Macaca fascicularis: one gene and its partners. The protein of the gene in region 1 purifies or fractionates together with the protein of each later gene. This does not show direct contact. Links are inferred from orthologs where the notes say so. Each region holds a gene or a part of one and is shown on either strand. Other genes may lie near its edges. The genes, in order: MED12L, CDK8 and CDK19.

Region 1 (3,657 bases):
GGAAGTAGTTACAGAGAGCAAAGAGTGGAAGGCCTCACCTTGTAATGCAGACTCTGAACTTAGGAGAAGTGGAAAGCTGGAGTTATTTTCACATGTAGATATGTTTAATGAAGGGAAAATACTAGAAATGTCTCTTACCAAATTTAGGCGGAGTTGCAATGCTTCGTGCATCATCTGCCGCGCTTTTATGTCATCTTGGTATCGTTCTTCTCTCCAGTTACTTAAAATCTAAGATCAGGAAAAAGAAATCATTTTCTCTCCATTAAAGTTTAATTTTTCTCTCAATTAAAGATAAATTGAGCTTTATACTGATAGCAAAAAGCAACTTCTTATCTTTAACAAATTAAGAAACAAAGCTAAATAAAATTTTAGCTTTCTTCTTCCTCTATGCAGACAGAAATCTGGCTAGTTATTTTGCATTTACCCATCTAGGTGGAAGAAGAAAATCTTATATAATTATATAACCTATGATTAAGTCTGGGAAAATGCTTGAGAGGGCTATCACATTTAGCATTAATAAAAATTTTAAAATACATTACCTCATTGGTCTTACGAACAAAAACACTGGAGAGACAGAATTACATTTTGCCTCAGTCCTGTGTTATATTTCTAGGGACTTGCTGTGAATCCTAGCAAATGTATTATTTTGATGTTTTATAGAAGAGAAGGTCTGCTATCTTATGTATGTGTCTTCCTTGATAAAGTGAATGCACAGTGCTTTGAAAAATATGGCATTGTAGACATCAGCCAAGTGGCTTATCAGTTTATAAAGTGGGCTGCTTCTTCACTTCCTCACTGACTCATACTAATGCTGGAAAAGGAAAAATTTGCTTAGGAAAGGGAGCCACAAGTGGACAACACCCTAGAATCAGATGACATGAGCAAAAAAAAAAAAATTGCAATTCAAAACAAAAACAAAAAACCACCAACAAAAACCCTACCATGCTCTGAAATATGGTCGTTAATGACAGTCATCTTAAAAGAGTTCAAATGAATCACATGCAAAAGTACTCCATCCCAACAGATGACCTGTAAGTACCCTGCATGGTGAGACGAAAGCACTTCCTAAATCTCATCAAAAGAAATGAACCTCTTCTCAAGGCTGGCTTAAGGGGGCAAGGCAGTTAACTAAACAAGCTCTCATGGAGTTCAAATAATAGTAGTGGGACCAATAAAACTAAGTGTAACAAGTGATTTGAGGCATGCAATGGCATAGAGAATAGCTATGCTCCTACTTTTAGAGGGTGATCAAGGCCTCCCGAAGGAGGTAACATCTGAACAGAGACCTGAATGAAGGAAGGGAGCAGGCCATGCTAATATCTGGAAGGTAATCTTTCCACCAAAAGGTAAGAAAAGATGCACAGGCACTGAAATGAGAATTTGCTCAGCAAGTTCAAGGAACAGTAACATGGCCAGCCAGTGCAACAACAGTGGAGGAAAGAGGGCCATGACTGGTAGGAGACAAGGTAGACGAGAGAGCCAGTGTCAAATCATGCCTGCCCTTATCAGCTAGAATTTTTATATTAGGTATACTGAGGTAATATGTGACTTACATTTAAAAAGGTTCACTATGACTGCTATATCTAGATCTTTCATATCCAAAAGGCGAGAAATGACAACAGGATCAAAAAAGATTTAGTGTCCTTGTCCATGTCCATCTAGTACCATTCGAGGGAAAGACATGGTGTCACAGAAACACAGCGCCACAAGAAGGGGTCGATTAGGCTCTGCATCAGGATAAAACACCTCATAAGACCAATCTATCCACTTTATTAATTCCATGCTCTCCAATTTCTACTGTGAATGCTCAGTCTCCTTATAGTACATAGATGCAAGAGCCCCAAACAGTGACCAGGAGAACTGTGTTTGGTGAAAAGGCAATGTCCAAATTATTTCTAAATAAACCAATATGCCTTCTGATTTATTTCTTGTGTATTTGGTTGGCATCAGTAAAACTGAGTTTCTGAACCTACAGATTTCAAGCTGAAACTGTGCCTGATAATGTGGCATCCAAGCTTGAGGAGCTGGACTCACTGCCATGTCTACTGCAGCATAGATTCCTCCAGGTCCTCTCCTAAGAGGCAAAGTTAGGAGAGGGGCAGATACTTCGAAGTTATATGCAATATGTAAAATTTTACTTTTATAGGCTGTACATATTTATTGTACATATCATTAATATAAAGTTGTTAATCTTGTGGTGTCTAGAATGCCAGGTAGAAGAACAGGGCATGGATTGTTTCCCAGCATCTTCTCAAAACATTTTGTACCCTTATTAGTTTTTTTGTTTGTTTGTTTCTGTTTTTTTTTTTTTTTTTTGAGACGGAGTTCCACTATTGTTTCCCAGGCTGGTGTGCAATGGCGCGATCTCAGCTCACTGCAGCCTCTACCTGCCAGGTTCAAGCAATTCTCCTGACTCGGCCTCCCGAGTAGCTGGGATCATAGGTGCACGCCACCATGCCCGGCTAATTTTTGTATTTTTAGTAGAGACGGGGTTTCACCATGTTGGCCAGGTTGGTCTCAAACTACTGGCCTCAAGTGGCCCACCAGCCTCGGCCTCCCAAAGTGCTGGGATTACACAGGCATGAGCCACCTCACTCAGCCCTTTTTAATTTAATTTCAGTATTTGAAAGGCAAATAAATGAATGCCATTAGAAAGATATTTCCCTGGCTTAATATTATACTATACTTTACCTGGTTAACTTGATTCTGGAGAGATGTTAGGAGGCCTTCCCTTTGTTCATCTTGTCCCTTAAGGCAGGTAAGTACCAGTGAGAGGAAGGGTTGTTGACTCAAAAGAGACATACTACAAAGGAAGTAATAACAGCAGATCTAGTTAGAAATAATGCATTACTTCCTCTGGCAACATTCATTTCTTTGCCTCACTATTAGATAAATAAGGGAAGTGGTAAATAACCAAAGGCTGCTTGAAAATTTAAATCATACCTCTACTTATAAGATTAAAAGCCACTGTAATGCTTCTAAATCATTTGGTATGCTCTAATTGCCCTCGAAGCCATTCTCAAACTACCATCAATCCATACTGTACATGCGCATGCCAGGCAGTGAGGGTAGAAGACAGTGAATTCATGTTCTACATCAAGACGCAGGATTTTAAAACATACATCAGAAAGAATATCAATTTATACACAGGATAAAATTAAAAAATTTTTAAGTTCTCACATAAAACTCTTATTTTAGAGTCTGGGAAAAGAGGCCTATATGTCTGTTGAGCTTGTTTTGGGGTTTGTTTTTCAGCACATTTCCCAAGACCAAAAAGCAGCATATTAGTAGAGCTAATTTAGCAGCCAGGACTGATGATTCCAAAAACAGAGTATTTGCTAGCGACCTCTAGTGTGCAGCTCCAACACAGCCCACAGGCCCCAATACAGCCCGCAGCCTCCACTGGTAGAGGGGTGTCAAGGCATTTGGTTAAAAATTCTGTTTTAAATTGGCATTTTAACAAAATGTCCTCAATGAGAAAACAATCAACAAATCATATTGACAAACAAAGCGCCATGTTGGAAAGAAAAATTTCTTAAAATGAGACCTAGGCCAAAATATTTCAATCAGCATCATCCTACATGGGCAGAATGAAGAGCCCCTGACGTGGGAAGAGCAATCTTTCAAGTCTCTTCAATGCCATCTGTCCTGCCTGTG
Region 2 (3,657 bases), on another chromosome or scaffold:
CAAATGGCACATATAATTGCTGAAGGACTGTTAACATTTAAGGTTATAAGAGGTATTTAGGAAGTTAACTTTGTAAACAGTCTTTCAAAGAGCTGAAATACAAAACAATCTATCAATGGTGAGAAGTATTTTCTTCTTGATACTTCTCTGAAACTTTTAAAATTTTAAAGTAACAGATGAAAAACAATACACGTAATTTTATAAATGTTTTGACAGATTTGTTCCCATCACTATCTTTAGAAAATCTAGCGTGACCAAACGTTAGTCTGTCAAACCATGAGATGAGTCTGGAAAAGCAAATATTTTATTGTCTTTATTGGTATGCACTAACAAGCTCTGCATTCACCGTGAAAGCGCTCTGCATGTGAGCTAAGTAACCATATCAATTGATCCAAAAAAGCCTCAGTTGGGCCAGTCAATTAAGGAAAAAATGCATTTCATTAATACTGTTTATCTAAAGCTTACCAAGTGGAATGCTTTACTATCTGGTTTAACTTTATGTTTTTCCATATACTTGATAAGGCTGCAGTTGGTATACCTGAAAGAGAAATACTATGAAATAGCTATATTAGACTTGAGGTTAACTTTACATTGGCTAAAGTTCTTCTGATAAGAATTATTTTGATCATAACTGATATACAATATATACTGAAGAGTACGAGCATAAAAGGAGTAGAATTAAATCAGTTTTATATTTCATTCAATATCCACAATGGTCACTTTTGAAACGATACCAATGATTAAATGTAAGACGATTTCATGAATAACAGACACTAAACAGCTTTTTCTTAATATGAATTTAACATTTTAAATAACATCTGGGTCAAAAGTTTAATTCAGCCTTACATATAAGTGTAAAATACTTTTGTCATAGGTATATAAACGAAACTCTCCCAATCCCTGATTTTGCATTGTAAACAGGTGAAATATTCATTCTTCGCTATTAAAAATTGTTTAAAATTACTGTAACCTAGATTGGTAAGCAAGTGGCTATTAGCAAAGTGTATTTATTTAGACTCTTATTTATTCAGCTGTGATACTTCTAATGTCTAGCTTCCAAAAAGTAGTAAATATGGAAAGAAATGAATTTGTTTTATATCCAAATCAGCTGCTAATATTAGTTGCTTTTGTATATAATCATTTAAGCATCTTAAGAAATAAAGACTGTCATCATGAAAAATATTTATTAGAGTAAATAAGTAAAATTTATTAGCATAATCTTATTTTATTATGATGAATATTCAGTCTTATACTGAGTACTCTGGTAAAGCAAAAATCGACAAGGGGTCTTTTTTTTTTTTTTTTCAACTTACGTATTTCTTCTGAAATCTTTCATTAATGTTGAATGTTCAGGCATCTTTTTTATATCTTCCCAATCTTTATCTGTGAAATACATTGATAAATTTTTATGTTGCCTAAGTTCCTATTTTTGAGAATTTTTATATTACCACGTTCATTACACTTCCTATACATTCAAACCCCATAAAAAAAAGCTCAGTCTTCAAATAAATGTTCAGCAACAGTAAACATCTTCAACTGTAAACATAATTCCTTATCCCTTGTATAACTTTAGATATCTGTTTATCTTTTTAAATTTCAAACTGCAAACTTTCTGTATGTTTTACTATAAGCTGCCTCAATTTCTCTCACTAGAGAAGAATGTTATAAATATTTCTATTTATCTTATTAAATGTCCTATTTCTATTAGTAAAACTGCTTATTTTCCCTTTTCTACCAAATTTCTTGGTTGAATCAGCAATTAATTTCTTCAATGAGAAATCTAAGATCTTCCCCTCAGTGGCTTTAAACTGTATTTCTTTTTATGATACAGCCCTCCTTTCACCTTATTAAATATATTTCTTTACATAAGCAATCAATGTAAGTGGTAATAACTATTTGCAGAATAGGGTAGGATATAATTAGTATATTAATGTCGGCTGGTACCTTGGCTAGTCTCAGTAACATTACCCAAAACAACCTCAGTTCCTAAATACATTAAGTACAAAACGTTTCAGCTACTTTTGCTGGCATCAGAGTTGCTCAAACAATACATGCTACATAATTTGTTTTCTCCATCACTGTCAATGGGTTTTCCTGAGAGTCTACTAGGTGCACAGGACTGTCAGGGGCAGCTTAATAGCACCTTGAGTATTTTTTTTTTTTTTTTTTTTTTTGGAGACGGAGTTTTGCTCTTGTTAACAGCCCAGGCTGGAGTGCAATGGTGCGATCTCGGCTCACCCCAACCTCCGCCTCCCAGGTTCAAGCGATTCTTCTGCCTCAGCCTTCCGAGTAGCTGGGATTACAGGCATGCGCCACCATGCCCAGCTAATTTTGTATTTTTACTAGAGACAGGGTTTCTCCATGTTGGTCAGGCTGGTCTCAAACTCCCAACCTTAGGTGATCTGCCCACCTCGGCCTCCCAAAACCTTTAGCTTTTAAATGGCCTTCAGAGGCTTGCTTTTCTTTGAACTTACTTGTAAAAATATTTGGCAACTATCTTCCAAAGATATCACATATTGGAAACTAAACATACACTTACACTCCTAAATGGAATTTTCTCCTTAACTATTTCCTTGCTCCAATTTCTCTATCTTATCGACTTCTCAAGCTAGAAATCTTAAGATAATCTTTTAGTTTTCCCTTGCTTATACACTTCCTATAAAACATTTCCATCTGCCCTTTTTTCTCCATCCTTATTATCACTCTCACTTTATGTCTGCAGCACTGCTACAGCTGGTTTCTGATTTCGCTTACCTCTTTTTAACTGAGTTTTACCTACCACTACCTTACTAATCTTTCTAAAATGTAGCATAAATCATGTCTCTAGTACTGAAGAACTTATCATGGATTCTCATTCTTTAGCTATCAAATCTAACCTCTGCTGCCTGCTTTCCAAGCTTCCTTATAAACCACCCTAACCTCTGAAACACACATTAAGAGTTGCTGATAGATGTCCTCACTCCATATATTCCCTCACAGAAGCTATGCCTTTCTCATGGGCTCAGAAATGGTGGACACATTCAGAAGCAGGAAGAAAAGAGAATTCTTCTGTCTCTATTCAAACCACACCTATTTTTTAAACATTCTACATATAGCAGTACAATGTAAACTCCAAGAGGGCGATAATCCTGTCTGTTACATCATCAGTAACTTTTTACTTAAAACAGTGCCTGGCACATGGCAGGTACTTAATAAATATTCACTGAATAAATAAAATTCCTATCACAACAGAGGTCTTCTTCAAACCGGTGACCAATTTTGGAGAAAGGCAGTAACTGTGTAGTTATTCTGCATTTACTGATAATTAACACCCTTACAAGGGAATGTAGAATTAAAAGTCTCAGGTATTATCTCTATTAGTCTTGAGTTAAGTACTTGAGTAGCCAAAATTTAGGTGTTCTAAACAAATTCTCATTATTCTGGACCTCTGAGCAGTTTCTGGTGATCACTGTTCTGTAGTATAACTAGGGATTGAGATACAGTTGGAGAGATCTAATGCCAGGGATGGGATACATGTAAACCATCTCTGTGTTGCAAAACAGCAGGCCAACTCACCACAGAGTACTACGACTCACTCACATTGTGACTGTTCTGAGAAGACGTAAATGCTATTATTCAATATAATGTGATTCTGTATAGTGCCCTAAATAGAAATAA
Region 3 (3,657 bases), on another chromosome or scaffold:
CATAGTAGAGGCGGTAATGAGGAAGAGAGATGGGACCATCAGAGGCAGCCATATCAGGGGGAAGAGTGACAACCAATATGACTTGAGAGAGAGAGAAGAATTCAGAAATGGACACTGAGCAGTATTATTCTTCTACTCTGTAGTGAGGATTACATTGTGTTTTATAGCCTCTTATGGTGGCAGGCAATGGTGTAATTAAAAAATGGTTGTTGAAGGAATATGTTTCCATTATCCAAAAGGCTAAATTATGTGGAAGGAAACTGTACCTGAATGTGGTCAAATAAGTAAGGCATTACTGTATGGATTTTTCCATTTGGCAATTCGTTTCAGGAGAGAGCATTCTGATATGTCTTCTAGCTAATGGATATACAGTAGTCCTCACTTATCAGGTGGGAATATGTTCCAAGACCCCCCGAGGGGATGCCTGAAACTGCAGATAGCACCAAACCCTGTATATAGTGTTTCTTTGATCTGATAACCCAGACGACCACTAAGTGACTAACCAGCAGGTAGTGAGTATACAGTGTGGATGAACAGAGGGATGATTCACATCCCGGGAAGATGGAGAGAATAGCATGAAATTTCATCACACTGCTCAGAATGGTACACAATTTAAAACTTATAAATTGTTTATTTCTGGAATTTTCCATTTAGTATTTTCGAACTGCAGTGGTTGACTGCAGGTAACTGAAACTGGAAGGCAAAAACTTGGATGAGGAAGGAATAGTGTAATTAACCTTTTTCCTTGTTTAGCTCATCGCAGAATGTGATTCCCATATTTAATAGGCTACTAAACACAGTACTTTTTTATCTCTGTACCATAGTTTTTTGTTTTTTCCGAGATGGTGTTTTGCTCTGTCGCCCAGGCTGGAGTGCAGTGGTGTGATCTTGAGTCGCTGCAACCTCCGCCCCCTGGGTTCAAGGGATTCTCTTGCTTCAACCTCCCAAGTAGCTGAGACTACAGGCGTACATCACCACACCTGGCTAATTTTTGTATTTTTAGTAGAGATGGGGTTTCATCATGTTGGCCAGGATGGCCTTGAACTCCTGGCCTCAAGCGATCCACCCACCTTGGCCTCCCAAAGTGCTGGGATTACAGGTGTGAGCCACCGTGCCCAACCTATACCATAGTTTTTGAATTTTTATCTTTTATTTTATTTATTTATTTATTTATTTATTTGAGATGGAGTTTCTCTCTTGTTGCCCAGGCTGGAGTGCAGTGGCGCGATCTCCGCTCACTACAACTTCCACCTCCCAGGTTCAAACAATTCTCCTGCCTCAGCCTTCCAAGTAGCTGGGATTACAGGCATGGGCCACCACGCTCAGCTAATTTTGTGTTTTTAGGAGAGGCAAGGTTTTACCATGTTGGTCAGAACTCCTGACCTCAGGTTATCTGCCTGCCTCAGCCTCCCAAAGTGCTGGGATTACAGGCGTGAGCCACCACACACAGACTGTCTTCTTTTTAAAAAATATTTACTAAATGGCATTTAAGTGGGCAAGTCTCACAAAAGTTAATTCACTTATACATCTGTCAAAGCATTGTGAATATAATATTGTAGTCTCAGAATATAAGCTGCAGTCTTTCAGTGTGTAAATTTTAATAGAATAATCTATGACTGGTGATTTTAGATAGTTAATAAAACTTCTAAAGATGCCTAACTTTATCCTGAGGGGTGGGGTGGATGTGGGGTAGCATATAAGTGAATATGTTTAAGTAAGATCTATGTCATGCAGTACTATATATAGTATTATTTATGAGCTTCTAGAGCAATTTGTTGAAAAAGCTGAAGCTAGTAGTCTTTGAGACAAAAGTTTTTTCCCCAATTCTTTTTATTTTATTTTATTTTTTGAGACAGAGGCTTGCTTGCTCTGTTGCCCAGGGTGGAGTGTAGTGGTGCAATCTGAGCTCACTGCAACCTCTGCCTCCTGGATTCAAGTGATTCTTCTGCATCTACCTCCTGAGTACTGGGACTACAGGCGCATGCCACCACACCTGGCTAAGTTTTTGTATTTTTAATAGAGATAGGGTTTCGCCATGTTGGTCAGGATGGTCTCGAACTCCTGACCTCAAGTGATCCACTCACCTCGGCCTCCCAAAGTGCTGGGATTACAGGCATGAGCCACCGCGCCCATCCTCCCCAGTTCTTTTATATGGTCTATACTGTCTGTCGAGACTCAAAACTTGTAAATTCTGCTCTATCATTATACATTGGATGGCTTTAAAAGAATTACATCACTATGTCTGATGATGATATTATTTCAGTATATCAGATCTGAGTACTATGCCTGGTATTAGATTATCAATTGAATACTTTAATGATTAAATTATTCACAGTGGTTAGATATGGTGAGACCTTGTCTCTATAAAACAACTAAAAACTTAGCCAAGTACAGTGGCACACACCCATAGTCTCAACTACTCTGGAGGCTGAGGCAGGAGGATTGCTTGAGCCCAGGAGTTTAAGGCTTCAGGGAGCCATGATTACAGCACTGTACTCCAGCCTGGGTGACAGAGACCCCAAAAACAACAACAAAAAAAGTGGTTAGAAAGACCTTTGCCTAAATCTAAAGAATTTGTTTTTTGCTAAATTGACTTACCCTGTTTATTGTCATCAGAAAATTTACAAGTAAATGTCTTTTTATTATTTGGCTTTCAATCTGTTACATGATGATATAGTTATTTCATGTCTCATATATATATACACACACACACATATGTATACATACATATATACACACACATACCCACACATATGTTAAAATACAAAGTACAATAATGTTTTCTTAATGCACTTATTGTACTTTGTATATTGATTTACTGAAAAGTATTTTTATAAGTAGGCTGGGATTATATCTGGGAATTATAACCAAGGAAATATATACAAAAACTTATGTTTCTTCTTTCCTAGATATATGGGCAATAGGTTGTATATTTGCTGAATTGTTGACTTCAGAACCTATTTTTCACTGTCGTCAGGAAGATATAAAAACAAGCAATCCATTTCATCATGATCAACTGGATCGGATATTTAGTGTCATGGGGTTTCCTGCAGGTAATTTATTTTCCTTTTTAAAGTCGTATTTTGAGTCATATTTCAAAATCATTTCTTCTCAAAAGCAAAATTTAATGTATATTTATAAACTGACATAATTGGGAGATTTTAAATTAACACATTATTTTCTATAACAATATTTAATTTTTTTGTAAGATAAAGACTGGGAAGATATTAGAAAGATGCCAGAATATCCCACACTTCAAAAAGACTTTAGAAGAACAACGTAAGTAATTCCACACAGTCCTAGTCTTTTTGTGCTGCTGTAAAAAAATACCTTAGACTGGGTAATTTATAAACAACAGGAATTTGTTTTCTCCCAGGCCTTGAGGCTGGACAATCCAAGGTCAAGGCACTGGCATGTTTGGAGTCCCGTGAAGGTTGTTTTCTGCTTCCAAGGTGGTGCCTTGTTGCTGTGTCCTCACATAGATAGAAGGGCAAAAAGGGGCAGATGCTGTGTGATGCCTCTTTTACAAGGCATTAGTCCCACTCCTGAAAGCAAAGCCCTCGATTCTGGAAGGCCTTATCTTCTAACACTGTTGCATTGGGAATTAAGTTTCAACAACATGAATTTTGGAGGGGACATAAACATTCAAACCATAGT

Evidence for each region.
Region 2: the proteins of MED12L (region 1) and CDK8 purify together in Homo sapiens (affinity purification with mass spectrometry; 3 studies listed by BioGRID and IntAct, counting the BioPlex papers as one, with this or other methods). This does not show direct contact. The link is inferred for Macaca fascicularis from reciprocal best matches to the Homo sapiens genes MED12L and CDK8.
Region 3: the proteins of MED12L (region 1) and CDK19 purify together in Homo sapiens (affinity purification with mass spectrometry; 3 studies listed by BioGRID and IntAct, counting the BioPlex papers as one, with this or other methods). This does not show direct contact. The link is inferred for Macaca fascicularis from reciprocal best matches to the Homo sapiens genes MED12L and CDK19.

Annotation. Positions count from the first base shown.
Region 1 is NC_088376.1:54,230,643-54,234,299, reverse strand, and holds part of MED12L (mediator of RNA polymerase II transcription subunit 12-like protein), read right to left. Parts: intron 2,804-3,657; coding exon 2,692-2,803; intron 229-2,691; coding exon 139-228; intron 1-138. UniProt on the Homo sapiens protein: May be a component of the Mediator complex, a coactivator involved in the regulated transcription of nearly all RNA polymerase II-dependent genes.
Region 2 is NC_088391.1:6,446,159-6,449,815, reverse strand, and holds part of CDK8 (cyclin-dependent kinase 8), read right to left. Parts: intron 1,384-3,657; coding exon 1,314-1,383; intron 539-1,313; coding exon 466-538; intron 1-465.
Region 3 is NC_088378.1:14,657,959-14,661,615, reverse strand, and holds part of CDK19 (cyclin-dependent kinase 19), read left to right. Parts: intron 1-2,909; coding exon 2,910-3,053; intron 3,054-3,209; coding exon 3,210-3,279; intron 3,280-3,657.